Linked DNA regions of Arabidopsis thaliana. The protein of the gene in region 4 purifies or fractionates together with the protein of the main gene of each other region. This does not show direct contact. Each region holds a gene or a part of one and is shown on either strand. Other genes may lie near its edges.

Region 1 (9,166 bases), 900 kb from region 4:
CTTTGCATGAAAAATCTCTGCTACATTTTGTTAGTGCATTATTTCTCTACAATTTCTTGAATACCAACTGTTTGAAAGAATAAAGAAAAAGGCAGAGTGTGTTTGTTCTGTTCCATGCAACCTCTTACACACTCGAGTTCATCCTCAGTCACGGGCAAACAACAGTTGATGCAATTCCTCTCTGGCAAATTTCTCCACCTTTACAGAACTAACTTCACTTGATTTGTATCAGTAGCTACTGATACAAATCAATTTGCAATCTCCTCCTCCAAAAGTTGTAATAATGGGTGCTAGGGGATAAAAAGAAAGAACAGAGGCATACATCAAAAGCTAGCTTTATCAAACCACATGCACAAAGTTTACTCAAATCAATATCAGAATCAGAAAAACAAGCTTAATCAACAAGTTTACATTAAAGTGTTTCCTTATCATATAAGAAGGGGATTCCTCTTTCTTTTTCCCAAGCCTTCACTTCAATGATTAGATCTTCAATCATGGCTTAGAAAAGAAACACAATACTATCATCTTAAGTCTTTGTTCATTACTTCAAAAAGAGAGGGTAATAGGGTTACGCGTATAAAGACTCACCAGGAATTTGCATGACAAGACTCTTAGCACGTTCTAAGTGTTCGTACTCTCCTCTTACGAGTTACAAGATTGAAGAGGTTTCCATCCTATAAAGACGATCAAGAATATATAATAAGAAATGCTTACTTTAATCAAGTCAATCTTCTCTTGATGTATCACAGGTCTTCACCTACCTTTTCGTAGTCACGAAGCCATTTTTCTTCTTCCTTAGCTTGCTTCCAGGTTTCAACTGCATCTATTATGCCTTTCCTTCTTAAAGCTTCAGATTTTGCTTCCTCATATTAGCATCCAATGCAGCACCAATATCAGATAGAGCACGATCACCTGACAAGATAACTTATCTTTTAAGCATATCTAAATTGCTGTTTTTTTCTTACAAATAGAAGAGTTCTTCACTTACCCTCATTATCAGTTAGCTCAATACTGCCTGTCGAGCTCGACAAAATGCCTTTAACTCGTATTGCTTCTGAAGTACATTCACCTTCAGGGTTTCCCCAGTTTTAGTTTTCTTTGCCACTTTGTCAGCCTTGTCTTTATTAGCAATCCTCTTCGTTTTGGGAGCACCAGTGGATTCCTTTCTTTTACCAGCATCATTAGTACTCGTCTTGGGAAGATATTTTGCACAACTCCATTTTTGTTTTTTCTTAGGGTGATGAATGACTTGGCCTGAGGTGAGAAATTGAGAGTGTAGAGACTTTTGCCTTTGTAGTTATACTCTGCCAAACTCCATCCTTTTAGCCAATCATCCACAAACTCTATGGGTAAATCATCATGATACCTTAAGTAAGCTAGTTTAGAAGAAGTGCTCACAACTTCTTGACCCATTTGAAACTGATGAACATAGTAATTGACACTGCCCCACTTTATAAGAGCACCATTGCAATTAAAATATCCAAGATGAACATTTTTAGTTGGATAAAAGAAGACCCACGACTTGTTGCTTTCTCCCTCTAGAAATTGAAAGTTGATGAAATCTCACTCCCATGGACTGCGATCAAATATTTCAAGATCGTCTATCCATGGAATTGCAACATCAACTCCAAAATCTACACTTTTAACCAAACTAATCATAAGTTAAATTTCAATTTACAATCGTTTATTAATATAGTGATTAAGTAAGTTATCAAGTATTAATTTATAGAGTTTTATTTTTGTATAAACTAACCACGAGTTAAGGAGGTGTTATTGGTTTATGATTTCAAAAGAGTTTTAGTGACTTAAAGTATCATGTAGAATCTGTTGTTATTTAATCAAAAAAATTTAAAAGTATGTTAAAAGTTTGTGTTATTCATTAAAGATTTGTAAAAAGTAATCTAAAAATCTTCATAAATTTTAGATTATTGAATTCATACTTTTATAAAGTCAGTAAATTTTTTGTGTTATTCTATTAAAACAAAAAAATCTCTGATTGTTTATGATTTAAATTATTATGTTATTGGTTCATGACTTTCTACATTTTCTTTCACAAAATAAAGTCATAGAAAGTCATGAATTTTTTTTCAAAAGATTGTTTTGAGAAACTTTAGAAGAAAATGTATTTAATTATAATATTCATAGCTGGAAATTGATCTAATATTTAATTATAATATTAAAGTTTCCAGTTATCCAAAAGAAGATGTGAGTTTTTTTGAACTTGGTAATTAAAAAAAGAAAGCAATATTTCAGATTTAATACAGATTCATAAGAAGGATCCATAAGAAATTAACTAAACCGGATCTGGTCTTGAAATAGTGACGGACGCGTGTCCCCCGGTCAGAGAGTTGCCGTCACAATCACGCGGAGAAAGAGCGACAAATCAAACCTTAACCGTTAAAACGTCATCGTTTCATATCCCCCCACAACCGAACCCCTTTCGTTCGCCCGTCTCTCTTAAATAAATCTTAGAGATTTCTGCAAAATTCGTCACTTCAATTTCAATTTTCAGATCTCAAAAACTTTTTCTCTTTTCCGATTCCAATCTTCTCTCGTCTGCTTTCCTCAAAGGTACGTTTTATCTTCCTTCTCATAGCTTCCGAAGAATCAATCTAGGGTTAGGTATTTCAATTCTGATCGGATTTTCTCTCTTCAGTGTTCTCTAATCTAATGGGAATTTCACATGTTTTCTCCAGGTTTTTTCATCACTTTATGCTTCACAAGCGAGCTAGTGAAGCTAACGATAAGAACGATAATACCATCATCGGTTCCGATTTAGCATCATCTAAGAAACGCCGTATCGATTTCACTGAATCTTCGTCTGATAAGTCTTCTTCGATTTTAGCTTCTGGTAGTAGCAGGGGTTTTCACGGCGATAGCGTCGTTCAGCAAATCGACATGGCTTTTGGTAATTCGAACCGTCAGGAGATTGATGAAGATCTGCACAGTCGCCAGCTCGCCGTCTATGGTCGTGAGACTATGAGGCGTCTCTTTGCTTCCAATGTTCTCATCTCGGGGATGCACGGTCTTGGTGCCGAGATTGGTATGTACTTCATTGGTTTTATGTTGAGATTGTGGTCTCCCTCGTCTCTTTGGTTTTTGAAACTTGTAGAAACACTGTTTTCGTATGCGTCGTTATTAGAAGCTGTGAATAATTGTGTCATCTTCAAAGATTTTACTCTTTAGTTGTTTTGTTTTGGTTCTCCTGATCTGTGATTGCTGGTATTCTTCAACATCCAAATCTTAGTAGCTTCCTGATGTTCCTTAGTTGTTCGATATCTTTGTTATTGGGGTTTCGTTATATGCCAGTTTTCTAAGATGCATGGTAAATGTGAACTGTTAATGATACTTTTTAGTCGATTGCTTTCTCATTCAGTTTTTGTTTTATTTGTTGATTTTCTTCAGCCAAGAATCTTATACTTGCTGGTGTGAAGTCTGTGACCTTGCATGATGAAAGAGTTGTAGAGCTATGGGACTTATCAAGCAACTTTGTTTTCTCGGAGGATGATGTTGGCAAGAATAGAGCAGATGCTTCTGTTCAGAAGTTACAGGATCTTAACAATGCTGTGGTTGTCTCTAGCTTGACCAAAAGCTTAAACAAAGAGGATCTTTCTGGCTTCCAGGTTTGTAGACAACTCATTTGTCTTGTTATTGGTTCTATATGGTCTGAGTCTTTTGTGTACTGTATCGTTCTGTAGATTACTTGTGAGTTTATGATAACACTGTAACTGAATGAGTAACATAAGAGTGGGTTGTTCTATTTTCGTTGCATATAAGAGATGGGTTTTGTCTCATTTAGTGTTAGGCTATTTCTAGTGTTTATTGATATTGATATGGAAGATTGGTGTACACTTTTCTCATTGGTGTGTGTTTCTTGTTGGCGGGTTTTACGCTGATACATCTACTTTTGTGCCAAACAGGTTGTTGTATTCTCTGACATAAGCATGGAAAGAGCAATCGAATTTGATGACTATTGTCACAGCCATCAGCCTCCTATCGCTTTTGTCAAGGCTGATGTCAGGGGTCTTTTCGGCTCTGTCTTTTGTGATTTTGGGCCTGAATTTGCGGTTCTTGATGTTGATGGAGAGGAACCCCATACAGGCATCATTGCGTCTATCTCTAATGAGAACCAGGCATTTATTTCCTGTGTCGACGATGAGAGGCTTGAGTTTGAAGATGGTGACCTAGTTGTTTTCTCAGAAGTTGAGGGTATGACAGAATTGAATGATGGGAAACCAAGGAAGATAAAAAGTACACGGCCATATTCATTCACCCTTGATGAGGACACTACTAACTATGGAACATATGTGAAGGGTGGTATTGTCACTCAAGTGAAACAGCCAAAGTTACTGAATTTCAAGCCATTGAGGGAAGCGCTTAAGGATCCAGGGGATTTTCTATTTAGTGATTTCTCTAAGTTTGATCGGCCTCCACTCCTTCACTTAGCATTCCAGGCACTTGATCATTTTAAAGCTGAAGCTGGCAGATTTCCTGTTGCTGGCTCAGAAGAGGACGCTCAGAAGCTTATATCGATTGCCACAGCCATCAATACCGGGCAGGGTGATTTAAAGGTGGAGAATGTTGATCAGAAGCTTCTAAGACACTTTTCCTTTGGAGCCAAGGCTGTCCTGAATCCTATGGCTGCAATGTTTGGCGGTATTGTTGGACAGGAGGTTGTTAAAGCTTGCTCTGGAAAATTTCATCCTCTCTTCCAGGTAAAATTTCTTTTCTATAGACTTGTGAGAACACATATTTAGTCTTTGCATGCCAAGTTCTCTGTTCGAGTTAAGAATTTTAAACACTAGAATTTAAACTCAAAGCTCTCTTTTGTTAAAACCGAATCAAAGTAACAAGACAGAAGTTGAAATACACCCAAGAGTAATTAATTCCTAAGCTCTCTTCATCCCTATGTAATATATTAGAAGCTAAATGAAAGCTGTTTAGATAAAGTAAATAAAGAAATAGAAATTCTAATGAAAATAAGGAACATTATCTAATACGCATCTCTCCTTTTTCCTAATGTTTTATGTTGTGGGAAGTTACAGCTGTTTCCTCTTTTTTTGATACATTTATATTGTTTAAAGTTTCGTATTGGGATCTGATGTTGTGACTCTTTTTGTTTATCAGTTTTTCTACTTTGATTCAGTGGAGTCACTCCCCTCTGAACCTGTGGACTCGAGTGACTTTGCACCAAGAAACAGCCGGTATGATGCCCAAATATCTGTATTTGGGGCCAAGTTCCAGAAGAAACTTGAAGATGCTAAAGTTTTCACAGTAGGGTCTGGTGCTCTTGGCTGTGAGTTCTTGAAAAATTTGGCTCTGATGGGGGTTTCTTGTGGAAGCCAAGGGAAGCTGACAGTGACAGATGATGATATCATTGAGAAGAGTAACCTCAGTCGTCAATTTCTGTTCCGTGACTGGAACATTGGACAGGCTAAATCCACAGTTGCTGCTTCGGCTGCTGCTGTTATAAATCCTCGCTTCAACATTGAGGCCCTGCAAAACCGTGTTGGCGCGGAGACTGAGAATGTATTTGACGATGCCTTCTGGGAGAACTTAACTGTTGTCGTCAATGCACTGGATAATGTTAATGCGAGGCTCTATGTTGATTCGAGGTGCTTGTATTTCCAGAAGCCTCTCCTTGAGTCTGGAACTCTTGGTACAAAGTGCAACACACAGTCGGTTATCCCACATCTAACTGAAAATTACGGTGCCTCAAGGGACCCACCAGAGAAACAGGCCCCCATGTGTACAGTGCATTCCTTCCCGCATAACATTGATCACTGTTTAACTTGGGCTCGCTCTGAGTTTGAGGGTCTGCTGGAGAAGACTCCCGCTGAAGTGAATGCATATCTTTCTAGCCCAGTTGAGTACACTAACTCAATGATGAGTGCTGGTGATGCTCAGGCGAGGGACACATTGGAGAGGATTGTTGAGTGCCTTGAAAAGGAGAAGTGTGAGACCTTCCAAGACTGCTTAACCTGGGCACGACTGAGGTAATATCACTCTTAATAGTTAGTTAGATAGTCTAGTCGTAATATGGAATGAAATATAGTCCGGTGTCTTACTCATGTCCTGCTACAGTCTCCTATTTTATGCTTTTGTCATGTGCTTCATCCCAGGATTGCTTAATTATTCGTTGAAAACATCATTACGAAACTAAAAAATAAAATAAAAAACTAGGAACAGTGTTATAAGGTAACTTCATTTCACAACAGGTAGCTACAACCAATATGTAGAAGTGGGAATAAATCGTTTCCTTCCTCTGTGGAGTCTGTGATTTTTGCAATAATTTATGTGTTTGTTATGTTATGTGACTAGGTTTGAGGATTACTTTGTGAACCGTGTCAAGCAATTGATATACACATTTCCTGAAGATGCTGCGACTAGTACCGGAGCTCCATTCTGGTCTGCTCCAAAAAGATTCCCTCGTCCACTCCAGTACTCGTCGTCCGACCCAAGTCTCCTTAACTTTATCACAGCGACTGCTATTTTACGAGCAGAGACATTTGGGATCCCGATACCTGAGTGGACTAAGAACCCAAAGGAAGCAGCAGAAGCTGTTGACAGAGTGATAGTCCCAGACTTTGAGCCAAGGCAAGATGCAAAGATTGTGACTGATGAGAAAGCTACCACTTTAACCACTGCTTCGGTGGACGACGCTGCAGTCATCGACGATCTCATTGCTAAGATCGACCAGTGTAGGCATAACTTGTCGCCAGACTTCAGGATGAAACCTATTCAGTTCGAAAAGGTATATTACCCTCCAATGTTATCGTCTTCACTGATATTGACTTGTCTTGTTTACAATTTTTAACTGAGTGTTGTCATTTTGAATTTGATGTGTTTGTAGGATGATGATACAAACTATCACATGGATGTGATAGCAGGACTAGCCAACATGAGGGCGAGAAATTACAGCATCCCTGAAGTGGACAAGCTGAAAGCAAAGTTCATAGCAGGGAGAATCATCCCAGCCATTGCGACTTCAACAGCCATGGCTACTGGGCTGGTCTGCCTCGAGCTGTACAAGGTCCTTGATGGAGGACATAAAGTGGAAGCTTACAGAAACACATTTGCCAACCTGGCACTTCCACTATTCTCCATGGCTGAACCACTTCCACCAAAGGTGGTGAAGCACCGTGACATGGCTTGGACAGTTTGGGACAGATGGGTTCTCAAGGGAAACCCAACTCTTCGTGAGGTGTTGCAGTGGCTGGAGGACAAAGGGCTTAGCGCATACAGCATCTCTTGTGGAAGCTGTCTTCTGTTCAACAGTATGTTCACAAGGCACAAGGAGAGGATGGACAAGAAGGTTGTGGATCTCGCTCGGGATGTTGCGAAAGTCGAGTTACCGCCTTATCGCAACCATCTTGATGTAGTGGTGGCTTGTGAGGATGAAGATGACAATGACGTCGATATTCCTCTCGTCTCTATCTACTTCAGGTGAAAAGTTTCGAGAGAATGAAGAAAGATGAAACTCTTGAGAGCAAATTTGTGTGTTTTGTCTCTGCATCTGCCCTACGTTATTATCTTTTGGATGCTTGTGGGTGAGATAACTGATTTTTACTTGAGGGGGATAGAGACTCATTTTATCTCTCTCGTTCTATTTTAGTCTTTCTTTCTATGTACAATTGCTGAATGTGTGGTTTACACACCCGTTACCTTCTAAACATGTTCTATCAAACAAATCTTCGAGTTTTTCGGTTTTTTCCATGTCTTCTTGCAGGTGGTGTTTCGCGATAAGAATCCGAAAGATATAATCTACCTTAAATAATATCCACTCTGTGAATCTATTTACAGAGAACAAATTGAAGCAAAGAACTAAAGATATAATCTAGGGTCAAGTCTCGAGCACCACCTTCTCTTAACCCCAACCCAAGATTCTAGACTCAAAAGCTGTTTGCCTTTACTTCCTTTTTACCGGTTATACTGACTGACTCGGCTATAGAATTGATGAGCTTTTTTAACAATAGGTATCGTAGTTTTCGTTTATTCGGTTTCATTGCATAAATTTTGGATTCAATTTGAGAGTGGTTCAATTTATTTGGTACACTACAATTCAAATTGGAGTAAGCAAACAATATATAGGCATGAAGGAGAAAGATTTTTTCACTGAAAGTGCCACAAATATATTAAGAGTACTGACGATTCGAGACTCGACTTGGCTTGATCACCAAGATTTATCAGCGCCTTCGTCGAATTGGCCAGATCCCACAACACGAAAATCAAGCTGCTTTTGATGCTTGGTACGTCTTCTTTCATCAAAATCATCATATCCCTCGAACTGTCATAATACAAATATCCTTGTTTCAGTTCAGATAACGAAGAAAGAACTATAGACTCAAAACATGAAACTCTGAACAAACAAACCTGGCGGAGAAATTCAACGGTTATCTCTGTGTTGTGGAGACCTAAAGTTGAGAGCTGCAAACACATCTTAAATAAAGCCGATGGCAGCGTCTTCAATCCCGTGTTATTCAGCTCCAGCGTCTGAATACCGAAACACTAAGTCAGTATTTGTAAACCCATGGCCATGGAACAAAGAGTAGTCAAAAGATTGTTTTTTACCTTTAGATTACGCAGTTTGGTGAATGTCTCGGGAAGTTCTGATATAATATTAGCTGAAAGATCAACCTCCATGAGGAATGAACAGTTTCCGATACTCTCAGGAAGACTAGTTATTCTGCAGAATACAAAACGATGGAGAGACCATGAGCAATGTAATCAATGAATCACAATGCTACGACTGAAACTTTTGTGTTTTCGATCAATTAAAAGATATGAGTAAAGCTTATTTGCCTGTTGTTGTTGGCTTTCAAAATCTCAAGCTGCGTCAGAAGTCCTAACTCATTCGGTAGACTTGTCAACTTGTTGTTGGTGACATCAAGCTGTCTAAGAGACGTCAGTGAACCCATTGCTGATGGCAGAACAGTTAGACTGCAACACAAACAAAAGCCCAACCAAACAATTTCCCCGTCAAAAATCATTCGGCGTTCACAAGTATAAATGTTGTGTTCTAGAGTCCAAGTGATTACGATTTACGTGTAACTTCAGCTTCAAATCAATTTTTCCTTTGGTTTAGCTTGTCGAAAAACATTGAAGGCATGTCTGATATATACTAAGAAAGACAGTTCCAAGAGTGAAAGCGAAAAACTCACTTGTT
Region 2 (8,251 bases), on a different chromosome or scaffold from region 4:
GTTTCATACACAATGTCGAACGTTAAAGAATCTGAAACTGTTCACTTTTTGTTTAGTGATTGTTGATTGTCACATCAAACAACTTACAAAGGATCACTTTGATTCAGGTACAAAGTCATTTCCATCAAAAGAACCAAAAAAAAAAAGAAGCAATCACAGAGATAAGTAGTAAATCACTCATCGGACAATTGATCCCAAACATTGACGATGAGCCACCCTTCAATGGCTGCAGCCTCAAGTTGTTCTTCAGGACCTGCCTTCTCCCATTTGGCCTCAATCGAATCCAGCTGGCCCAAATCAGACCACAATACTCTGTGCGCTAATTCTCTTGTCCCAAGAAACTCAAGCACCAGAGTTCCACGAGCTTCCGCAGCCAATTTCCCAACGTTAATCGCGTTTCTTATCACGAGACCGTGGTTTTCTCTAAGCAAGTCCAGGTCTTCCTCGATCTGCACTCCAACAAAAGTGACAAACTTGGAAGCAAAGAAACGGTACAGATCCTTGAGATTGTCATGAAAAGGTTTAGGAAGTCGAAGGAAGAGACATAAGTTTCTAGTGCTCAGCTTCACCGATGACAGACTCCACCCTGACGTTTTGGTTTTGGTTTCAGTTTCAGGAAACCCCACATCCCAGTACACATCGAAGATCACCGCTCGGTTTCCATTCAAGATAGAATCTTCTCTTATAAGTGAAAGGTATGGAGAGATATCTGTTGATGATCCAACATCAATGGTCTTAGTCTGAACATAGGAGCCATCAGTCATCTTGAACTTTGGCCCATCAAAGGAGGCCATGTGATGAAAAAACACTAAAGAATATTCACAAATCAAATTAGATTCAACGATAACTGACAAAGTTGTAGCTAAACTTATCTCAATACTAATAGAAGTGGAAAGTAAGATAGTGAATCCAATCATCACTCATATAACTTGAGCACCAATAAGGTTTCCTCTTTTTTATAAAAAACTACAAGTATTCATGAGTTGGAAACTTGGAGAAATTGGGTGAAGAAAGGACCACACATTGAATAAACAATGATCTAGCATCGAATTGATCAAAGTAGAGGTAAACAAACTTTTTTTTTAGTTTTGGCTACAAATACCATTGATCACTCCCCCTAGTTCTAGGTTTCATGACCTTTCTGTGCATCAAAAGATAACAAGAAAGAAGCGAAACTTTTTGTTCTATATCTCTTAGACTAATTAACTAATGGAGAAACAAAAACATTTGATTCTATCTTAGTTCTTGTAACCCAAAACGATCGATCCGAGAGATAAAATCCCCTAACTATCATCTGAAATTGGAATCATACTAGTCAAATTCAACTTAAAAGAGACATTAACTGATGAGAAGTTAAGAGGAGGACGAACCTTGAAATTTCGCGTCCGGTTAGGGATCGTAGTAAGCGAGGAACAGTTCTTCTGGTTTCTGCTGGAAGAGAGAAGACTAAATCCCCGCGAGGGAAGAAGAAATCACGAAATGGAGACACATTTCCTCAGCTTGCTTAACCAACCATACGTTAGTAATTTAAGCTGACCAATCCGGTTCAACCGAAATTCTATGTCTTTTGAATGTTTTTCTTGACTTTTTTTTTTAAGGGGTCCTTGTCAATCTTTGTTACCAACGCCAATTCACACAAGAAATATAATGTGAGACATTTTTCATCGTTATCATACAACCGTGAATATACTTGTCAAGCAATGTTGGTCAAATTCTCAAGATACAAGAGTTTTTTTTCACGCTAATGTAGTCACACTACAAATCCATTAATATTATTTTTTTCGTTTAGAAATCACACATAAAACATAGATTGTGTTTGTTGGTATAAGTGATAGAGAGAGCATCCCCATATCATTTTCCAAACACAAATGCTCACACCAAAATGGTTGAGTTCATAAGGTACATTTCCACACATTATGCTTAAGTTTCACTCTTATTACACTTCTTTGAAATGTCTATTAATCTTTAGGAATTAGCAAGTACGACACACATTCAAATATCCAACAACTACTCTCTCTTTATCAATCAACAAATAAAAAACAAAACTTGATTGATTAACAATTTCAAAGTTTAAATTCAATCACACCTAACCTGAATTAAAATTTGGTCTATTGCATACTCAAATCCGGTTCAATGTTACAAGACCAAAACCAGATATTTATCTTAAACTGGTCCACTTGAAAAAACGAAAAAACTTACCACACAACACAGGCTGATTCTGAATTCAGCACAAATAGTTTCAAAGCCCAACAATCATCGCCCAATTTTTGTTATATACCGCCGCTTCTTTCTACACAACCTACAAAGCCAAAAGCTTAGTATACTCTCTCTTTCTACTTTAACAACAAATTCGCCGCTTATCGCCTCCGATCTTCTCTCAAAGGTACGGTTTCGTTTTCATTTCCTCCGATTCTCGTTTCTTCTTCAGATTCCTTCATCGATTAGCTCTAGGAACCTTCTCATCGGAATTCATTTATTGTCTTTGTTTGTTATTCGAAGCTTCTTCTGTTTATTTGATACATATTCTCTTTCAGTTACTCTATATGGAACCATTCGTTGTTAAGGAGAACATCATCGCATCTGCTTCTTCGCCGATGAAGAAGCGACGGATCGATCACACTGAGTCAGCTGATGGTTCTGCGATTAACGCTTCTAACTCCAGTAGCATCGGTTTGAACAACAGCATCGGTGGTAACGATACGGTGATGAGCATGGCGGAGTTTGGTAACGACAACTCCAACAATCAGGAGATCGATGAAGATCTTCATAGCAGACAGCTCGCCGTTTACGGCCGTGAGACTATGAGGAAGCTTTTCGCTTCCAACGTTCTCATCTCTGGGATGCAGGGCCTTGGTGTTGAGATTGGTAACGATTTTTGTACTTTTCGTTGTTAATTTCTGCTTGCATGTTATTCCTGTGCTTGTCCTGCTGGTTGTTAAAGAGCTTCAAGCTTGAGCAAACGTATTTCGTGATTAAGCTGTTTTGATGTTGTGTGTACATTTGGGCACTTGAAGTTGAGATTGTAAAATTGGTATATTAACTTGTTAATCCTGATTTTCTAATGAGTTAGTGACACATTATATAATGGAAGGATTATTCAATATTCACTATAGATTTGTAATGAACTAATGACTGGTATAGCTCTTTATTCTCTTCGTTATTTCCTTCTTTCTGATGGATGATTTTTTTTTTTTTTTCTTATTTAGCCAAGAATATTATTCTAGCTGGTGTGAAGTCAGTGACCCTTCACGATGAAAATGTGGTTGAGCTATGGGACCTATCTAGTAACTTTGTTTTCACGGAGGAGGACATTGGTAAGAATAGAGCACTTGCTTCTGTTCACAAGTTGCAAGAACTCAACAATGCTGTGGCTGTCTCAACTTTGACTGGGAAGTTAACCAAAGAGCAGCTTTCTGATTTCCAGGTATCCAAACCCTTCCTTTATTTGGTTTGTCTTTGCTTCCTTGTTCTAGTTGTTAATAATACTATCATGATTCATGGACATAATTATCTGTAAAAGAGATTAGAGGTGACTGAACGTGGATGAAAACGTTTCTACTAAAAGTACAGAATGTTTGGCTTTAGTGGTTGATTTCTTTTTTTTTTCCTTGATGCAGGTTGTGGTATTTGTGGATATCTCTTTTGAGAAAGCGACAGAGATTGATGATTATTGTCACAGTCATCAGCCTCCTATTGCATTCATCAAGGCTGATGTTAGGGGGCTGTTTGGGTCTTTGTTTTGTGATTTTGGACCTCATTTTACTGTTCTTGATGTTGATGGGGAGGAACCTCACTCTGGCATCATCGCTTCTGTTAGCAATGAAAATCCTGGATTTGTTTCGTGTGTCGATGATGAGAGGCTCGAGTTTGAAGATGGAAATTTGGTTGTTTTCTCTGAAGTTGAGGGAATGACAGAGCTAAATGATGGAAAACCAAGGAAGATAAAAAATGTCAAGCCATTTTCATTTACCCTGGAGGAAGACACCTCTAGCTATGGGCAATATATGAAGGGTGGCATTGTGACTCAGGTTAAACAACCAAAGGTGTTGAACTTTAAACCTCTTAGAGAAGCACTTAAAGATCCAGGCGACTTTCTTCTAAGTGACTTTTCAAAGTTTGACCGACCACCTCTTCTCCACTTAGCATTCCAAGCACTTGATAGGTTTTCGTCTCAAGCAGGCCGATTTCCGTTTGCTGGTTCAGAAGAAGATGCTCAGAAACTAGTGGAAATTGCAGTTGACATTAATGAGGGTTTGGGTGATGCAAGGTTGGAAGATGTCAACTCTAAACTGTTGCGGCATTTGGCCTTTGGATCCAGGGCTGTTCTGAATCCTATGGCTGCAATGTTTGGTGGCATTGTTGGGCAGGAGGTTGTCAAGGCATGCTCTGGGAAATTCCATCCTATCTTTCAGGTAAAGACTTTTCTGTTTGGTTTTTCAGGGGCTCATCTGTTCGGTCTTTGTATGTTAAACTTCTACTTGTTGAGCAATGCTGTTCATCTATGTTATACAGGCATTTACTCTACATGAGTCCTATACCAGGACTAAAGTTTCTCTTCCCTTGTTAGTAGTATTTCTTTTATACTTGGTAATGTGGTAATTAGTTTGCATTATTTGTGCAGTTCTTTTACTTTGATTCGGTGGAGTCACTCCCCAAGGAACCTCTTGATGCATCAGAGTTTAGACCACAAAATAGCCGTTACGATGCACAGATCTCTGTATTTGGGTCTACTCTTCAGAAGAAACTCGAGGATGCCAGAGTTTTTGTTGTAGGGGCTGGTGCTCTTGGATGCGAGTTCTTAAAGAACTTGGCTTTGATGGGTGTGTCATGTGGCACCCAAGGGAAGCTAACTGTCACCGATGATGATGTAATTGAGAAGAGCAACCTGAGTCGTCAGTTTCTTTTTCGAGATTGGAACATAGGACAGGCTAAATCCACAGTTGCCGCAACAGCAGCAGCTGGAATAAATTCTCGCCTCAACATTGATGCTCTGCAAAATCGTGTTGGACCTGAGACCGAGAATGTCTTTGACGACAGCTTCTGGGAGAATTTGACAGTTGTGGTGAACGCTTTGGACAATGTCACTGCAAGGCTTTATGTTGATTCAAGGTGTGTGTATTTCCAGAAGCCTCTCCTCGAGTCAGGAACCCTAGGTGCAAAGTGCAACACACAGATGGTTATCCCTCACCTCACTGAGAACTATGGTGCCTCGAGAGACCCACCAGAGAAACAGGCTCCAATGTGCACCGTGCACTCATTTCCTCACAACATTGATCATTGCTTAACATGGGCTCGCTCTGAATTTGAGGGTTTGCTTGAGAAAACACCAGCTGAAGTTAATGCATACCTCTCAGATCCTGTTGAATACATGAAAGCGATGAGAACTGCTGGTGATGCCCAAGCAAGGGATACTTTGGGACGTGTTGTTGAGTGCCTCGAGAAAGAAAAGTGCAATTCATTCCAGGATTGCATAACCTGGGCTCGTCTGAGGTACTCTCTGTTGGCCCACACCCTTCATTGAGACTATATGTAAAATGATTTTCTTCTCTTTACATAATTGCTTGCTTACAGGTTTGAGGACTACTTCGCCAACCGTGTGAAGCAGTTATGTTACACATTTCCTGAGGATGCTGCTACTAGTACAGGAGCTCCGTTCTGGTCTGCCCCAAAGAGATTTCCTCGCCCACTCCAATTCTCCTCAACCGACCTGAGCCATATCAACTTTGTCATGGCTGCATCTATCTTGCGAGCAGAGACATTCGGAATCCCTACTCCTGAGTGGGCTAAAACCCGAGCAGGACTAGCCGAGGCTGTGGAAAGAGTAATTGTCCCCGACTTTGAGCCGAAGAAAGATGCAACTATTGTGACAGATGAGAAGGCTACAACTTTGTCTACAGCTTCAGTCGATGATGCAGCAGTAATCGATGAACTAAACGCAAAACTAGTGCGGTGCAGGATGAGCTTGCAGCCAGAGTTCAGGATGAAGGCAATCCAGTTTGAAAAGGTGAATCATAAATGTATCCAAGTATCTTTCAGATTCTGTATTTGAATTATAAGAGCAACAAACTAACATTATTTTGCTGTTCTTAGGACGATGATACCAACTACCACATGGATATGATCGCTGGGCTAGCCAACATGAGAGCAAGGAACTACAGTGTTCCCGAGGTGGACAAGCTTAAAGCCAAGTTCATAGCCGGAAGAATCATACCCGCGATTGCGACATCAACTGCAATGGCAACAGGTTTTGTTTGCCTTGAGATGTACAAGGTCTTAGACGGGTCACACAAAGTAGAAGACTACAGAAACACATTTGCTAACTTAGCACTTCCGCTCTTCTCCATGGCTGAGCCGGTTCCACCTAAAGTGGTGAAGCACCAAGACCAAAGCTGGACTGTTTGGGACCGGTGGGTGATGAGGGGAAACCCGACCCTAAGGGAGTTGCTAGACTGGCTAAAAGAGAAAGGGCTAAACGCATACAGCATATCTTGCGGAAGCAGTTTACTGTACAACAGTATGTTCTCAAGGCATAAAGAGAGGATGAACAGAAGAGTGGTGGATCTTGCAAGAGACGTGGCTGGGGTTGAATTGCCTGCTTATAGACGTCACGTGGATGTTGTAGTCGCTTGTGAAGATGATAATGATGCTGACGTTGATATCCCTCTCGTATCAGTCTACTTCGCCTGATTAGAGAATTTTAATTAACGTCCCCAACGAGAGAAGCTTTTAATAATTACTGTATTCTTGGGATATGAAGTTGAGTTTCAGAGATAGAGAGAGTTTTGATGTATGAGAATAGAGTTAACTTCTTAAAATTTAGAACTAAATTTTCAAATTTGGTGTTTTTCACTTATTCATTACAAACATAATACGATTAAACAATCCTAATACAAAACGTTTTTCTCACACATCATTTACTACAAAGTTAAAAATCAGATAGTTATTATTAGCTTATAACAGCAACTACGTACAAAGAGGACATTTCACAAGTCCATTCTCATTACATTCTCTGCATCTTGTCCACATATTATCATTACTACTCTCTTCATCGTGATGCTCTGCAAGCAATCTTGTGCTTCCATTGCAGCTAGAACATATCAAAAACCTTTCGTTCTCGCAAGACTCGCAAGGTGAATCAACCTGTGAGATTCCTTGTAGTAGCTTCTTCAGCTTCCCGTTCTCGTTCAATGCCACAACTTCTTCTGCTCCACCAATGTACCTACCTCTAATGAACAGCCTCGGAGAGGTAACTTTCCCACCAAGCAACCTCCACATCTCTTCTCTAAACTCTGAATCCATGGAAACGTCTCTCTCTCTATACATCACCTGGTGATTCTCCAACAAGAATCTCACTCTTCTGCAAGCTTCAAATGTTTTCCTCACACTTCGCAGGCCCGTCGTGTAGAATACAACCGAATCTTCTCCTCCGGGTGGGCAATTCTCTTTAAACTCCAGAAGAATCCCTCTTTCTTCTTCAAGATTATGTTCCTCTGCATCCTCAAGCTCTAGTAGTGTTGGTGTAACACAACCTTTGCTTTGACCAGATTCAGCGACTATTTCGTCTCTTAGATGATGGATTGTGCGATCAATGGTACTCTTATGAAGAGTTAAGCTTTGCTTCAACGTCTTGACAGTGGTGATGAGTTTGATTTTCTTCACCAATCTTTCCTTCATTCCCTTCATTGCTAACAAAACTTGGATCTTTCAAAAATCTGAAAAGAGGATTTAGAGAAGAATTCTGATCAAGATAAGATCGGGTACGAGAACAAAAACAAAACAAAACTTAGTGGCTAATGGGTTCTTCGTTTTCAGGTTTCTTCTTTGGTTAACGTGTGGGTACCCAATTTTGATGAATAAAGTTTCAAAAGCTACTTTCTGGTTTAGCTTTCAAAAGTCTTTCTTGATGGGTTTTCATCAGAATGAAAAAAGAAAGAAAAAAAGTCTTTGTTTTTTTTTTGTGTTGATGGGTCATTGCTACAATAATGTAAGATGTGATGATAAAACTCACACCTCAATTACAGAAGACAAAAGACACTCATGACATGAGTAATGATTTTACCCAATCAACCCAATTTTGCCAGAAGGCTAAAAACAAAAAAGGAAGATGTTATAATGGAGCTTTAAGAAATATAAATCTTTCTGGTAAGAGTCATCAATTGATTTAGCCTGTCTTGTCTTTTACAATTCCAGAAACGTGCAATGATGTAAGATTGGTAAAGAAGCTTAGCTTTAGCTAGCTTGCAAATTCGAA
Region 3 (6,508 bases), on a different chromosome or scaffold from region 4:
TTGAAAGAGTCAAATAAATAGGCAAGAGATTGGGCATTTAGAGAGAGATAGAGACTCAGAGAGAGAGGGAGAGAAGAGCATGTGGGTGGGAGAGTAGGGCCAGAGAAAAGAAAGAGACTTTTTTTAACAATTGTAAATCTAATCTGGCTAAGTCCCCACTCAACACAACATGAAGGACAGAAGGAGGTTGTGCATTGATGTTATCCAGTTGTTACATTTTTTAAAAGATAGAATCAAAGTTCACACACAACCCATATCCACTCTGTTTTCGTTACATTTAACATAACTTATGTCACATATTAACCAAAAAACTTTTGATATAGCTTTTACCAATAGAATTGAAGAGAACTAGAGAACCAACAACACTTATTTACATGCAAAAACTATCATGGCAAAAAAATAAAACTATCTTTGATAGGGCCAAGGGAAATCTTTGTTATGGCTATAAGATCCTCGAACAGCCACATCCGAAGACAGTTTGTGGTTGGCAATTGAGGAAATGGACAATGATCAATTTGGATTTGGGAGAGAGAAAGAGAGAAAATCTATATAACTCATTGATATGATATGGTTTGAGGATAGTGTTTGAGTGAAGTAGGGTCACACACCAATCCTACTTCATAAAATCGATTTCCCAAGTGAAAGCTTGATGGTCTCTATATTATTATTATACATAAACAATTATCTATTTTCTTTTTACATATCACTATTTTTCTTTATGAACTTTTGATGTTTACTCATTTTTGTTGGTCTTTGATTTCTGATTGCATGTTCCCAACTCTTGACCTTTTAATGGTGATAATGAAGAAAGAAGTCGTAGAACTACCTTATCTCTTTACCCATACTACGTTTCAAAAGACTAGTTTTAAAGTCTCTAAGATCTAGTGAAAAGAAAAGTGCAAGCAAGTATAGCCACAAACAGAAGAAGATAAACAACAACAAAAATATAACAAGATAAGTTTAAACCAACATTAAAAAGAATATAAGAAGAGTCTTTGTTTCATTTTGGTGGTGTTGGCGTCTACTACACCAACGGATGAAACAATCTATTGTTTGTCTTACTGTTGCAATTGACGTTTGTAACGGCTGGTTTAATAAACACATTTTGGTTAATGCTAAATTCAAAAAGTTATTACAATATTAGTTATGTATGTACTTTCTCATTATTGTTTTATGTTAACTCTATGTTACGTTTAGGACATAATCAGAGTTGCTTGTATCTGAAATCGCAGGTAGAATCCTGATCATATGAACTGTTAAGAAAACAATCTCAAGACACATCTTTGAGATTAAGAACAATCCGAGATTAAGAATAATCATATAAACTCACTGTTTGGAGTCATTTTTTGTTCCCCAAGCAGTAAAATTCTGCAGTCACAGCTATTAAACGACATACAAACAAAAAAGGTACAAAAAATAAGAACTGGACTAGTCAAGCTGCCCAATTATCTCAATGGATCTAAAAGCTGCAATCAAAGGGTTTCTCTGTCGGTTTTCATGCTCCAATGGCTGTATCCATGTCTGCAACACCATCGGCTCCTTTGAATACAACTCTTACCTTCGTTGTGCACGACTCTTTCTCATTGTTCTTGAGGGCTCTTTGTCCAAACACGTGGATAGTGTCCTTCTGGACTCTTCCCATGAGGTCATAAAGCGGCTTGCTTAGCTTTGGTCTGTGAAACTCTTCTAGAACCGGAGGTGCCTGCATGTAGAGAGTGTTTTCCCCCTGTTTAACACTTGCTTTTGACAATAGAAGCTTCGGGTGATCTTCAAGCATCTCAATGAACTAGGACAAAGAAAAACAAAACATGAACAAATAAATGGTAAAGAATTGAGACGCAGATTTACATGGACAAACAAAGCACGAGTAAATTGAGATTTAGCTAAAACCAAGCCTGGAAAAGCGAGGAGATAGTAATAGAGAAGATAATTTAGCATGAATGAAGCAATACGTGAGTATGAAAATCAAGATAATCGTGGTATAAAAAAGACAATGAGATGATAATGCGAGAGGAAGGACCTTTGATAAAGTGACTGAGGTGTCCAGCTCAATCAGAATGCCCGGACCACATACAAGACATTCGGTGTCCCTCTCGAACTTTGTCACTTCAGTGTAAAGACCCTCTCCACCGTTATACCTTGCGAAAATGAAAACCAACCAAATTGCAACATTGAATTATTTGTAAATTCATATATTTAACTTTTAGTAGTCTAGCTGTACTCCGAACACTAGTAAGTAAGGTGGAAAGAAAGAAATAAACCATACGTCAAATAATTTACAAGTGTTTTGCTGCATGCAGACACAATCTTCAAGGTTTCAAGTGCACAAGCTGCAGATATTATCGCATTGGTGGAAGCAATCGCCGGTATTATGTTTTTAACCACACCCTACACAATAAAACAATCGTCCTCTCATTACTTCTTCATGAATACAAATAGCATACGGATTTCATCGTCCATGCTTAAACAGTCACCGGTACTTCAGCCGAGGACTGGAAATTTACGAAAGTGAACACAAAGAATAAGAGAGAACGGTTACATACTTGTGTGAGAGAGTATGTGACACCTGGAATTCCAAAAAGCTCAGCTCTCCTGATAGCCTGTGAAGTAATGGTAAATATAAAATAAACCCAAACCCAAATTAAAAAACTATAGCATAAACAAGTAAAAGAATAACTAACCTCATCATAAACCCACTTCATATGTTCTGGTTCATCAGGATCAAAGGTTTTCCCACGATGAACCTGCAGAAGTAAGAATCGAGTTTACCATGAATAAACCAAATACGTATTCACTAGGAAAGAAGAGTCTATTTCAGAGAGACTACAGAAAGAATTCATTGACATACCGTTTCCCACTGAATAAGATGAGCATATTCAATGCAATGAGCTGCATTCCTAGGGGTTTCTGCAAGAGTGCACAACGGAAACTTCACTTGAGGTGGGAAAAGATAAATAGTGCACTCAAAACAGGGTGTAACTCCAGGCAAGATAACTCTAGCATGACCCTTGAAACCTTCAGTTCCCCCATCTACCATTGGCTTGATCGTTTCTCTTTTCGGAGTATCATCTTCATTATACTCTACATTTCACAAGCACATTATCAGACAGAGAACTTCAAAAAGCCGAGGGATAAAGTATTAAAGGTTAAAGAATTTGCATACCAAGAAACCCACAAGCTACCCCATTGATGTATTTGCGAGCTTCGATAGAATCAAGACCAAGAGCAATGATATTAAAATCGTTATAAAACTCAATCTCTTTGTCTTCTATACGTGAAAAATGCGGCACAATCTCTACTCCACTCACTCTCTCCATTACACGCTTTGCTGCTACCTCTGCCTTAGGCTTTCCTACATCTTCAATCCTAAAACAACAATCAACCAAATTTCAATTCCCACAAAGATAGCTAACAATTTCACAAACATACCACACACACAGGGAACATAATGGATAGGGTTTATAGTGGTAAAACCAAAGAGACAAAAGAAGGAGAAAAAAACCTGAACAGGAACTGGCGATTGAGATTAGTAACCTCAATACGGTCCATATCAATCACTTCGAGATTACGAAAACCAGAAAGAGCTAAATCCTTGAGAAGCTCACAACCCAACCCACCCGCACCAATCACCAAGATTCTCACATAATCCCTTATGTCATCCCTCAGCTGTATACAGAAACAAACTTAGCTCAGAAAACCCACAAAAACGATACGGAATATAACCGAAGAAGCGAATTGAGGGATAAAAGGCGTTTACGCCGGGTCCGGGTACGAAGCCGGGGTCAACGAGATTCCCATGACGGAGAAGAAGCTTGTCAAGGTCTCTAGTTTTACTTTGAGGAACTTGAGGAGGAACATCGAGATCAGCCATTGAAACCGAGAGAGTGGCGGCGATTCACGGAGATTGATCACGGCGGAGAGAGCTCAAAAGACGCAAAGCCGATACACTGCCACAGAGCTCCGAAACTTGTATTGGCTTCTCTCTTTGAGCCGACCCTTATAGTTATTGGGTCAATACTGGGCTAGGCCCAAAACAATATTTTATTAGATCTTGATTATATTCCTTGGTTTAATTTGGACATTTATTAAAAGTTTTTTTTATAAAAGGTTTGTTTTAGCAAATCTATCTTATTAGAAAAAATTTGTGGATTATTCTGACTATTTATCACCTTTTTATATAATTTTAGCAAATTTTCCATTATATTGTTTTAATTATTGTCCCAAATTTGGTTATATTCATTTTCTTATTAATTAACTCTGTTACCAGTCCCTTACAATTGTTTTAGCAAATCTTATCTTATTAGATTTTTAATGAAATTTTGTGGATTATTCTGACTACTTATAACCTTTTTGTATTATTTTAGCAAATGTTCCATTGTCCCAAGTTTGGTTATCTATATTTCTTTTTAATTAATTAATTCGGTTACCCAATCAATCTCTCCTAGACGCGAAGAAGAAAAGAAAGACAGACACATATCAAGAGATTCAAGATGGAATCTATCTTTGATTCTCTGATAAGCACCGTTGGTGTGTTAGTTGCTTATAGCAGTCGTATATATATTTTGTGTCGGCTGCAATTGCTCTTGGTCTGCTAACGGCTGCAGTCGTATCCTTATCATCATCATCATCATTATCACGGTCCCAAGGTTTCACGATGAGACCAACCGAGTGATGGATTTATTTTGAATAAGTTACTGCTATGTAAGCTCTCAAGTCAACTTTCGATTTCTTTTCAATTAGGTTGGTATTAATTAGTTGATTATATATGGATCTATATATAAGCAAAAGTAAATAAAGTTTTCTGAGTGTTACATTTACTAATCCCTTCTTTTTTTTTCTTCGATTACACCAGATAATGCTCCCCGAAAAGCTCTTGAACACCGAAGCCCTGGTCCCCCGTAGTAAAATGGTTGTCGCAATTGTTGTTGGACTTCTTATTAATAGTATAGTACTTTGGAAAATTTGGTCCTTCGCGTTAAGGGCCCGGGAGATTTCTATATAAAACTTCTCCACTCCAATTAATCGTTGATGGATGATAAGATAAGACCGTGAAAATCGTTGGTGGCTAATAACCGATCGGCACGGTATTGAACCATAGCATAAAGAAGCAAAAGAATGACAAAGCTCATCATATGCCCAACTTCATACGTTGTGTGGCTCACCATGACTATACCTTGACAAAAAAAACAAAAAAAAAAGTTTGTTAAAGAAGAATTATATACATATTTCATATATTTATATTTACATTCTCACGAAAAAAGAATTATTTATCCTATTATAGTACATATTGTCTAAAACATAATATGTTAAATTACATAGACTCATTTTTTGTAATATTTTTTTGATATGGGTGAAAAATATGGGATCAATTACGAGATCAGGCCTTTTTTCTCTGTGTCTTTGTTCAAAACAGTATTTTTCAATATGGTACTACAATTAGGTACTTTTCTCAGCTGCATTGATGTTTTTATCCCAATCTCCAGTTCTGCAATTTACCCCAACGAGAATGGTCTCTGCAATTCACCAATCTCCAGTTCTTTCGTCTCTACAATTCACCATAATCGCAACTCCTTCAGCTCTTTCCTCGACTCATAAACTGGTGACAAGTCTCGGTCCGAAATCAAAATCCACCTACTAATATATGTCCAAATCTAAAATTGATTTCATTTGTATTTTGAAATTCTTAGGTTCCCTAAACATCATCCCTTTAGGGTATATTTTTTTTTTTTTAAAACGTAATTAATTGGATTTGTTGAGTTAATAGATGAGAAGAAGATCTATGAAGCATCTGGAAATAAAAACAGAAATAGATCGATGAAAAAGAAGAAGAAGCTGAATCAGAGTAAAATCGTCTAGTGATAAAAAAAAAATGCCCATTTACATAAGCCCACATGAAAATGCCCATTTTCAAATATTTGAGCTAAAATGTCCTTATTTTTGTAAAAGCCCCGAAAAATATGACGAATTTATGACAACAAAAAAAACTGAATTATTACATGTTTGAAAACATTTGGTATAGTATTATTTATTTATCTCATTACAATTTTGGTATTATTTATGTAAGTATATCAATTTGTATTTATTTTTTTTATATGGTAAAATATAGCTTTAAAAGCAGCGGAGTAGCCATGGTGCACTGGTGGTAGTGATGCGCAACCTAAGTTGTGTAAGTTGTAACATGTAATCGATTCTTTGTCGTTGAGCATTTTTTTTTTAATTTGTTAAAAATTATGTTCTATAAAATTAAGGTATAGATTATCTCGAATGTTAATCAAAATATATAAGATGAGTCATTTTAATCTACTGTTGAATAATTAGCGTTATACCAAAAAAAAACATTTGATCTGTTTGATGGCTTAATTATTTTATCACAACTTCGAAAGGTTATGGTGGTGAACCATACAAGCGGCAAAGTGATGGTTGTAGTGGTGTCGGGTTAAGTTTTTCTCAGACGAGTTATTTGTTATTTGTAAATATGATACTATGTATTTTTTACCTTTAAAAAGTT
Region 4 (7,164 bases):
CTAAGGTAACAGAGAGCCAGTCTGTGGCGAGCCATACGTATTCATGGGTCATCATCTGCAGCTTTTGCGCTATATCAAAAATTCTGAGCAATGGGTCCGGACCAAAATGAAGAATATAAACTCGAGGACCGATGGACTTGGATTTGTTCAAAGCATTAGTAAGGAATTTTTCATCAGAATGAACTGAGAGCGGCACTTTATAGGAAATTCTGGATCTTTTCTTGTACAGTTCATCATCTAGAGCAGAAACTCCATTTCTTCCGAGCTCATCATCCGAGTAAACTGAGATCACTTCTTTCCATCCATAAAAATTGATAAGATCCACAAGGGCAGACATTTGGTGGGCATCATTAGGTGTAGTCCGAAGAAAGAAGGGAAATTGGAGGGCAGAGAGAGTTGGATCAGTTGCTGCAAATGAGACAAGAGGAAAGTGGAGCCCTTTTGCAATATCGGAAATTGTATGAGCAACAGAGGATGAAATTGGACCGATCATAGCCACCACTTCTTTCTCAAGCAATTCAAAAGCTGCAAAACAAAAACCACTGAAGCTTAAACCAGGCCCTTAGTGGTAAAACCAAAGTTTTGTTTCCACTTATGTACAGGAAACACAGGTCCTAGTAACAGCCTGTTTAGGGTATGCGGTCTATATTGTTCTATGCATTATTAGCATTCGGAACCCAAAATATGTACCAATAAAAAACGGATTAAAACGTAAATCGATGTGCCAATCATTTCCAACTATCACAAAATGAAATATTGTTGCTACTGATGTGCATTGACCGCTTTCTATAATATGTTTGATATACTGTATCAGCCATGGATGAGTGTCACAAGTGTTTGAAACACAAAAGAACTAGAAGAACAGTCACGGTACCTCCAAAGGACCCACGAAAGACATTGCAGGCAGAATCCTCCATTAATAGCCGTAGCTCCGTTTCTTTGAGAAAGCTTTTATCATTGTTCACATCGGAAACAGCTGCCTCTAGAGCTACTTTTGCAGCTCTTCCGATAACCGAATCAAAAGCAAAAACAGCACCGATGTTCACCAGTTGAGGTCTTTGGCAATCCATTGGAACCACCAGAATGACCACAATCAGTGCCGTAATAGCGACAGATGGGTCAATGCCCAGTCCCATGGAGATAATGCAATCAAAGTAAGGACCACTTCAGATAGTTTGTGTTGGAACTAGAACCATCTCATTTAAATCTAGCAACTCTTCATTCAGCATTGAGGATGAGAAGATTAGAGAACTAAGCAAGGTAAAGTTTCCAACTTTGACCTGTAGAGTCAATGCGATTAGAAGACGAATCAAGATCTAAGCGAAGAGCAATCACAAGTCAAACCAAATTGATTATTTTAGCTGAAAACTAGCAACAATGTGGATATGAAGACTTATATACACAAACTCATCCGGACAGAAGAAAAATCTGAAAAAGAGTTTTTACAAATTCATTGAAATTAACAACAGTGAGACATTCTCTTTACCTCTTTGAGCTACCTTCTGGTTCTCTCTGCGGAATATACGCAAACACTTTGTAGGCATAAGTTAAAAAAGGGAAATTTTACGACAACGCAACGAATTTTTAACAAGAGAAGTCAAGAACTATCTTTTTTAAAAAACCATGATTTGACAGGAGATTACTAAAGGAAGAGAAACAAAACTAGAGAGATCAAATCATGCCCAGAAATTCATCCATCATTCTTCTTCTTCTGAGAACAAAATAGAAGAGAGAAATTGAAAAACGTGTGACTGAAGTGCTTTTTTGATTCGAGCTCACAAAGTCCTATCTAGTCTATATACTCTATAGTCACAGCAGCCGTTTGTTTGTATTTTTGTTTTCAGTGGGGCCCATCATTATTGGGCCCTACATGTAACGGCCCATTTTGTTAAGTTTATTTAAGATTAGATTACAATATAAATATTTTAATTGCCATGTGTTAATCATTTTATTTCTTCTCAAAAGTTTATTCTCTTAAGTTAATTTGTCAATGAAATGTTAATAGTATTTCATTTTATTTTTGCATAAAGAGAGACCCGTAGCAAGGCAAAATTTGAGTTGGCGTTTTTTATTCATAATAAAGATTTTTAGGCGGCAAAAAACTATTACATAATGAGATTTTATCACTTATTCATCTAATAATATTTAATTAAATTACATATGTGTTTTTTTCTAGCTATGTCATTTATTTTTACAATTTATATAAAATTTTGATATGTTTCCATGTATATATATATTTTAATAAATGAAAACTCAATCCAGAAAACATAAATTTTGATTTTATTTTAAATTATATGTTTTTATTTATAATTTGTTATCTCTTTTATACATTAAGGTGTTTTTGCAATAATACAGTCTTAATTTTTAAAAATTACAATTAAGCCCTAAACTTTGTAAATGTTCCAAATTAGGAAGGAAATAAAGAAAGGAGACAACTTAAGGTTCTCTTATTAAATGCCATTCCCTTTCTTTCTTACAAGTCACAACCTCTCTCTCTCTCTCTCTCTCTCTCTCTCTCTCTCTGCGTCTTTCTCTTTCTCTCTGTCTGAAGTTGAGAACACGAACCACTGAAAAACCCGCGAAAGACTCGAGCACGAACCAACAATGGCGGAACCCAAAACCAAGTATGATCGTCAGCTAAGGTGCACTCTTTCTCCTCCCAACTCTCTTTCTCTTCTTCAACTTCTCTGTCTCTTTCATCATTCTTCTTAATTTCGCTCAAATTGTGATGATTGGGGATAAATTCATAGGATTTGGGGAGAATTAGGTCAATCAGCTCTTGAAACCGCGAGCATATGTTTGCTCAATTGTGGTCCAACTGGCTCTGAGGCTCTAAAGAATCTTGTTATTGGTGGAATCGGAAGTATCACCATTGTCGACGGATCTAAAGTAGAAATTGGCGACCTTGGAAACAATTTCATGGGTATAATTCTCTCTTTTTCATCTTTCTTAAGCAATGCGTTTCTTCTATTTGCTGTTTATTGACATTTATTGATGATTGTTGTTGATGTTTCAGTGGATGCGAAGAGCGTTGGTCAGTCAAGAGCCAAAACGGTCTGTGGCTTTCTTCAGGAGCTTAACGATTCTGTTAAAGCAAATTTTGTTGAGGAGAATCCAGACACTTTGATATCGACAGACCCATCTTTCTTCTCTCAGTTCACTCTAGTTATCGCCACTCAGGTACATTATGTTGAGGATTAGATAGTTTCTAGTCTTTGTTTTCAGATTTTCACAGAGCGTTTGCCTTATTAGTTTGTCATGTGTTGATTGTAGCTAGTAGAAGATTCAATGGTGAAATTAGATAGAATCTGCCGGGAAGCAAACGTCATGTTGGTTTTGGCTCGCTCCTATGGACTTACTGGGTTTGTTCGTATCAGTGTAAAGGTAAGATTTTTGTGGATAGAGTGCTTTGTCACTTGTCATATGGTCTGTCTGCTAACTGCTATGTCATGTTCGCTCTTTCCTGTCAGGAACACACCGCTATTGAGACAAAGCCTGATCATTCTCTTGATGATCTCCGCTTGAATAGTCCATGGCCTGAGCTGAAGAGGTACTCTGCTTCAATCTTCTCACTCGTTATGTGTTCTTGCCATTCTTTAAACTTGTGTTTCAAATTACTTTTAATCTCCACAAACTTGCAACCAGTTGAAAGAAAATCTTATTTATTCAATGATCTGCAGCTATGTGGAGTCCATTGATCTAAATGTAGAAGAACCCGCTGCCCATAAGCACATTCCTTACGTCGTCATTCTAGTCAAGGTGGCTGAAGAATGGGCTCAACACCATAGCGGCAACCTTCCATCAACCAGGGAAGAGAAAAACGAGTTTAAGGTATCCTTACTTTTTGTTAATCAGCAAACAGTTATTAATCTTTGTTTTTCTTGTGATTCCTTGTCTTTATCTCTCTTACTCCTTGAAATTTTAGGACTTAGTTAAGTCCAAGATGGTATCAGCGGATGAAGAAAATTACAAAGAAGCCCTTCTTGCAGCTTTCAAAGTCTTTGCTCCTACAGGAATCAGTAAGTATACATACACCTCGTCTTGACATCGGTGGAAACTGGACTTTTAAATATATACTATAGATGCTGGAAATAAAGAAATTGGTTGGAGAATGGGAAAAACTGCAACGAGAACCAAATGGACAACTATCTACTATTTTCATGAAGCATGATTCATTGCTGCTCATTCATAACAGATCAGTTAACATTGGAGTTCAAAATATGAAGTCAGTTTTCACATTGAACTAAACATGTTTTCTTTTTCTCCAGGCCAAGAGATTCAAGACATTAATCATGATAGTTGTGCTGAAGTTGGCTCAAATTCCTCAGATTTTTGGGTAATGGTAGCAGCACTCAAGGTTTGTAACTTGAAAGACCTCACTTCAAAGCACATACTTCATATTGATATTTCAAACATGGAAGGGGTTGAGAACGTTTGTTGGGGTTTTAGTATTTTTTTGATCCAAGTTAGCTTTTTTTTCTGATTCCCATCAACATGGCTCAAATTCCTCAGATTTTTCTGATCCAAGTTAACCCTACTTATTATATGCATCATCTGCAGGAGTTTATTTCAAATGAAGGTGGTGGGGAGGTACCACTTGAAGGTTCCATGCCTGATATGATATCTTCCACAGAGTAAGTTCTCCTGTTCTTGCTTTTGTTTCATGGGAGGGATAAAATTCGTCCATCACCTTTATCAGATTACTATATAGCTGTATTGTATCTTTTGCAGGCACTACATCAATTTGCAGAAAATCTACCATTCCAAAGCGGAAGCTGATTTTCTTTCCATGGAACAGAGAGTAAAAAGTATTCTAGTTAAAGTTGGTCAGGATCCAAGTAGCATCTCAAAGCCAACTATCAAGAGCTTCTGCAAGAATGCACGAAAACTTAAAGTGAGAATGCTGAAATTTCTTACAATTTGATGTGTACTGTATCATTAAAACCGGGAATTGCGCCTTGTAGGTCTGCAGATATAGAACGATAGAAGACGAGTTCAAAAGTCCTTCTACAACAGAACTACATAAGTACTTGGCTGATGAGAATTACAGGTAAGAATGACTTCGTCAAAATTGATTCTTTTATACGACCATAGAGACTGTGATAACAAAAATATTACTGGAGTATATTTGTAGAACTGAAAAATAATATTTACAGTTGCAGCATTTTGGAGGCATGTTGCTGTTAGCTCTTAAGGGTCTTACCACTTTTCTGTTTATTCCTCTTGCAGTGGCGCAATTGGATTTTATATTCTTCTTAGAGCTGTTGATAGATTTGCTGGTACCTATAAGAAGTTTCCTGGACAGTTTGATGGGTAAGAGAACACATTCTGGCAAAATTTGATTGTATCTTGAATAATTTTGGCATTGTTAGGCCATTAACATGTCTCTTTTCTCATAGATCAACTGATGAGGACGCATCCCAGTTAAAGACTATTGCCCTGAGTCTTCTTAGTGAAATGGGTTGTGACGGCTATGAACTTCAGGAAGAACTGTACAATGAGATGTGTAGATTTGGTGCTGCAGAGATTCACGTGGTTGCTGCTTTAATAGGAGGAATCACATCTCAAGAAGTGATCAAGGTTCGTTTCATATCCATGTTGCTCAAAATGGTTACCCCGCAGTATCAAATAGGAGTGTGAAACAAACATTAACCTCTTTTATGGTTTGGCAATGTTTGCAGCTCATCACAAAGCAGTTTGTTCCCAAGCGAGGAACTTTCATCTTCAACGGCATTGATCACAAGTCTCAGTCTTTGACATTATAGAAGATTCTTAGACACTGGTGGCTGCAGAAGAACTCCAACATATCTTTTACCCTCACTTCAAGTTGAAACTTAACCTTTTCTTGGAGTTTTTATTCTGCTATACACCAGACTAACTAGATATCATTTCTTTGTAGAAACAGTTTCGAATTCCTCATGTATATTGATTGATTTTGAGCCGCGGTTCAAAACCGAAGAGCTCGCGTTAAGTGATGGGCATAGAGCCATTTTTGTATGACTTTCCTAAAGCAAAATTCTGGTATCGTTTCAAAATAGTCATATACTGCAATTTTAAAAGGATCAGACTTTTGGCTAAAACAAAGTACAGAGGTCTACAGAAGAATACAACAACAAACCACTGATGCGGTCGGGGGATTACAAAATAATCCTAGATTATGACAATCCAAAATTGACGAAACGGTAGAGATGGTACAGAAACAGACAAATCTACTCGGTGGAGAGTCTCTTTGTGGGATTGTAAACGCTGAATTCTCCAAAGTCTCTTCGGCCACTAGCAACAAAACAATCAAACCCTTGTAAAGAACAAGGTCCACATAAATTCACTTTTAGTAAATTCAAAGACTTTTGGTTCTCTAACACAAAAGTTGTTACTTGTCTCATGTCACAACAAGATATGATAAACATCCAAGTAGAACCTCAAGTTTATAATTAAAAAGAAGACGTAAATCTAAGGTTTACCTGTGACTAACATTCCAACCACCAGGTAAATGGCGAGGATGAACAGCATCAACAAACACTTTTCTCCACCTTTGACAGAAATCACGTACACCATCTTCTCCATGTTCCCTTAAAAGATATTCTACGATCTGTTTCCCGTGCGGTCCATGTCCTAACAAAGAGAGTTTGGAGTTTTGTTGGTGCAACGTATTCCCATTACACTGAGTATCATTTAGCTCTTTAGCTCCATCTCCTTCACTTGTACCATCACCACTATCATCAACAACTGTGCTCCTTTCTACAGTCATAATTTTCTCAAAATCTGCAAGAGCCTCCCCATCATTGTTTTCATCTAAAGATACGAAGTTGTTTGCATCAGTATTTCTGGATATCAAAGGATCATCATATCTTACACTTTATCAACCAACACAATTTTCAATGCTTATTATATGGTTACCTTCTTGTTTGTCCATACCAGCAACCTCTGCAGAATGTTTGAAGGAGACCCCTTTTTTCCTTTCGAGTTTTCTTCTTTCGTGAGGGCTCAATCCGATGAGTAAAGCTTTCTCTAAATCTTCTTCAGATAGGTCCCGTCCACCGTAATACATCTTCACAGTCTATATTCAGAATCCAAAAGAAAGTATCAATAACAGAATACTTGGTTCAAATCAATTTCTTGAAAGTTGAAATAGTTAGATGATCACATCACCTGCAACAATTCCTC

The links.
Region 1: the proteins of AXL (region 4) and UBA1 fractionate together in Arabidopsis thaliana (co-fractionation; one large-scale study listed by BioGRID). This does not show direct contact.
Region 2: the proteins of AXL (region 4) and UBA 2 fractionate together in Arabidopsis thaliana (co-fractionation; one large-scale study listed by BioGRID). This does not show direct contact.
Region 3: the proteins of AXL (region 4) and ECR1 fractionate together in Arabidopsis thaliana (co-fractionation; one large-scale study listed by BioGRID). This does not show direct contact.

Annotation. Positions count from the first base shown.
Region 1 is NC_003071.7:12,850,916-12,860,081, reverse strand, and holds UBA1 (ubiquitin-activating enzyme 1), read left to right. Parts: upstream 1-2,354; 5' UTR 2,355-2,571; intron 2,572-2,696; 5' UTR 2,697-2,712; coding exon 2,713-3,043; intron 3,044-3,405; coding exon 3,406-3,623; intron 3,624-3,920; coding exon 3,921-4,715; intron 4,716-5,127; coding exon 5,128-5,996; intron 5,997-6,321; coding exon 6,322-6,754; intron 6,755-6,853; coding exon 6,854-7,450; 3' UTR 7,451-7,753; downstream 7,754-9,166. Other genes in the region: AT2G30105 (LRR/ubiquitin-like domain protein), read right to left, coding at 8,174-8,287, 8,374-8,493, 8,572-8,686, 8,803-8,940, 9,162-9,166. UniProt on the Arabidopsis thaliana protein: Activates ubiquitin by first adenylating its C-terminal glycine residue with ATP, and thereafter linking this residue to the side chain of a cysteine residue in E1, yielding a ubiquitin-E1 thioester and free AMP.
Region 2 is NC_003076.8:1,967,696-1,975,946, forward strand, and holds UBA 2 (ubiquitin activating enzyme 2), read left to right. Parts: upstream 1-2,264; 5' UTR 2,265-2,383; intron 2,384-2,534; 5' UTR 2,535-2,543; coding exon 2,544-2,865; intron 2,866-3,206; coding exon 3,207-3,424; intron 3,425-3,617; coding exon 3,618-4,412; intron 4,413-4,621; coding exon 4,622-5,490; intron 5,491-5,571; coding exon 5,572-6,004; intron 6,005-6,090; coding exon 6,091-6,687; 3' UTR 6,688-6,832; downstream 6,833-8,251. Other genes in the region: AT5G06450 (Polynucleotidyl transferase, ribonuclease H-like superfamily protein), read right to left, coding at 174-794; AT5G06470 (Glutaredoxin family protein), read right to left, coding at 6,964-7,683. UniProt on the Arabidopsis thaliana protein: Activates ubiquitin by first adenylating its C-terminal glycine residue with ATP, and thereafter linking this residue to the side chain of a cysteine residue in E1, yielding a ubiquitin-E1 thioester and free AMP.
Region 3 is NC_003076.8:6,450,738-6,457,245, reverse strand, and holds ECR1 (E1 C-terminal related 1), read right to left. Parts: upstream 3,999-6,508; 5' UTR 3,872-3,998; coding exon 3,758-3,871; intron 3,667-3,757; coding exon 3,503-3,666; intron 3,367-3,502; coding exon 3,164-3,366; intron 3,082-3,163; coding exon 2,849-3,081; intron 2,745-2,848; coding exon 2,682-2,744; intron 2,601-2,681; coding exon 2,544-2,600; intron 2,389-2,543; coding exon 2,267-2,388; intron 2,139-2,266; coding exon 2,021-2,138; coding exon of another isoform or gene 1,880-2,020; exon of another isoform or gene 1,787-1,879; coding exon 1,496-1,786; 3' UTR 1,213-1,495; downstream 1-1,212. UniProt on the Arabidopsis thaliana protein: Catalytic subunit of the dimeric ECR1-AXR1 E1 enzyme.
Region 4 is NC_003071.7:13,755,098-13,762,261, forward strand, and holds AXL (AXR1-like protein), read left to right. Parts: upstream 1-2,495; 5' UTR 2,496-2,604; coding exon 2,605-2,642; intron 2,643-2,750; coding exon 2,751-2,923; intron 2,924-3,016; coding exon 3,017-3,180; intron 3,181-3,273; coding exon 3,274-3,384; intron 3,385-3,470; coding exon 3,471-3,550; intron 3,551-3,680; coding exon 3,681-3,831; intron 3,832-3,925; coding exon 3,926-4,019; intron 4,020-4,268; coding exon 4,269-4,357; intron 4,358-4,560; coding exon 4,561-4,634; intron 4,635-4,731; coding exon 4,732-4,894; intron 4,895-4,964; coding exon 4,965-5,050; coding exon of another isoform or gene 5,051-5,054; exon of another isoform or gene 5,055-5,156; coding exon of another isoform or gene 5,157-5,187; exon of another isoform or gene 5,188-5,229; coding exon 5,230-5,313; intron 5,314-5,399; coding exon 5,400-5,580; intron 5,581-5,681; coding exon 5,682-5,765; 3' UTR 5,766-6,055; downstream 6,056-7,164. Other genes in the region: GLR5 (glutamate receptor 5), read right to left, coding at 1-525, 875-1,136; AT2G32415 (Polynucleotidyl transferase, ribonuclease H fold protein with HRDC domain-containing protein), read right to left, coding at 6,210-6,273, 6,462-6,792, 6,898-7,057, 7,150-7,164. UniProt on the Arabidopsis thaliana protein: Regulatory subunit of the dimeric ECR1-AXL1 E1 enzyme.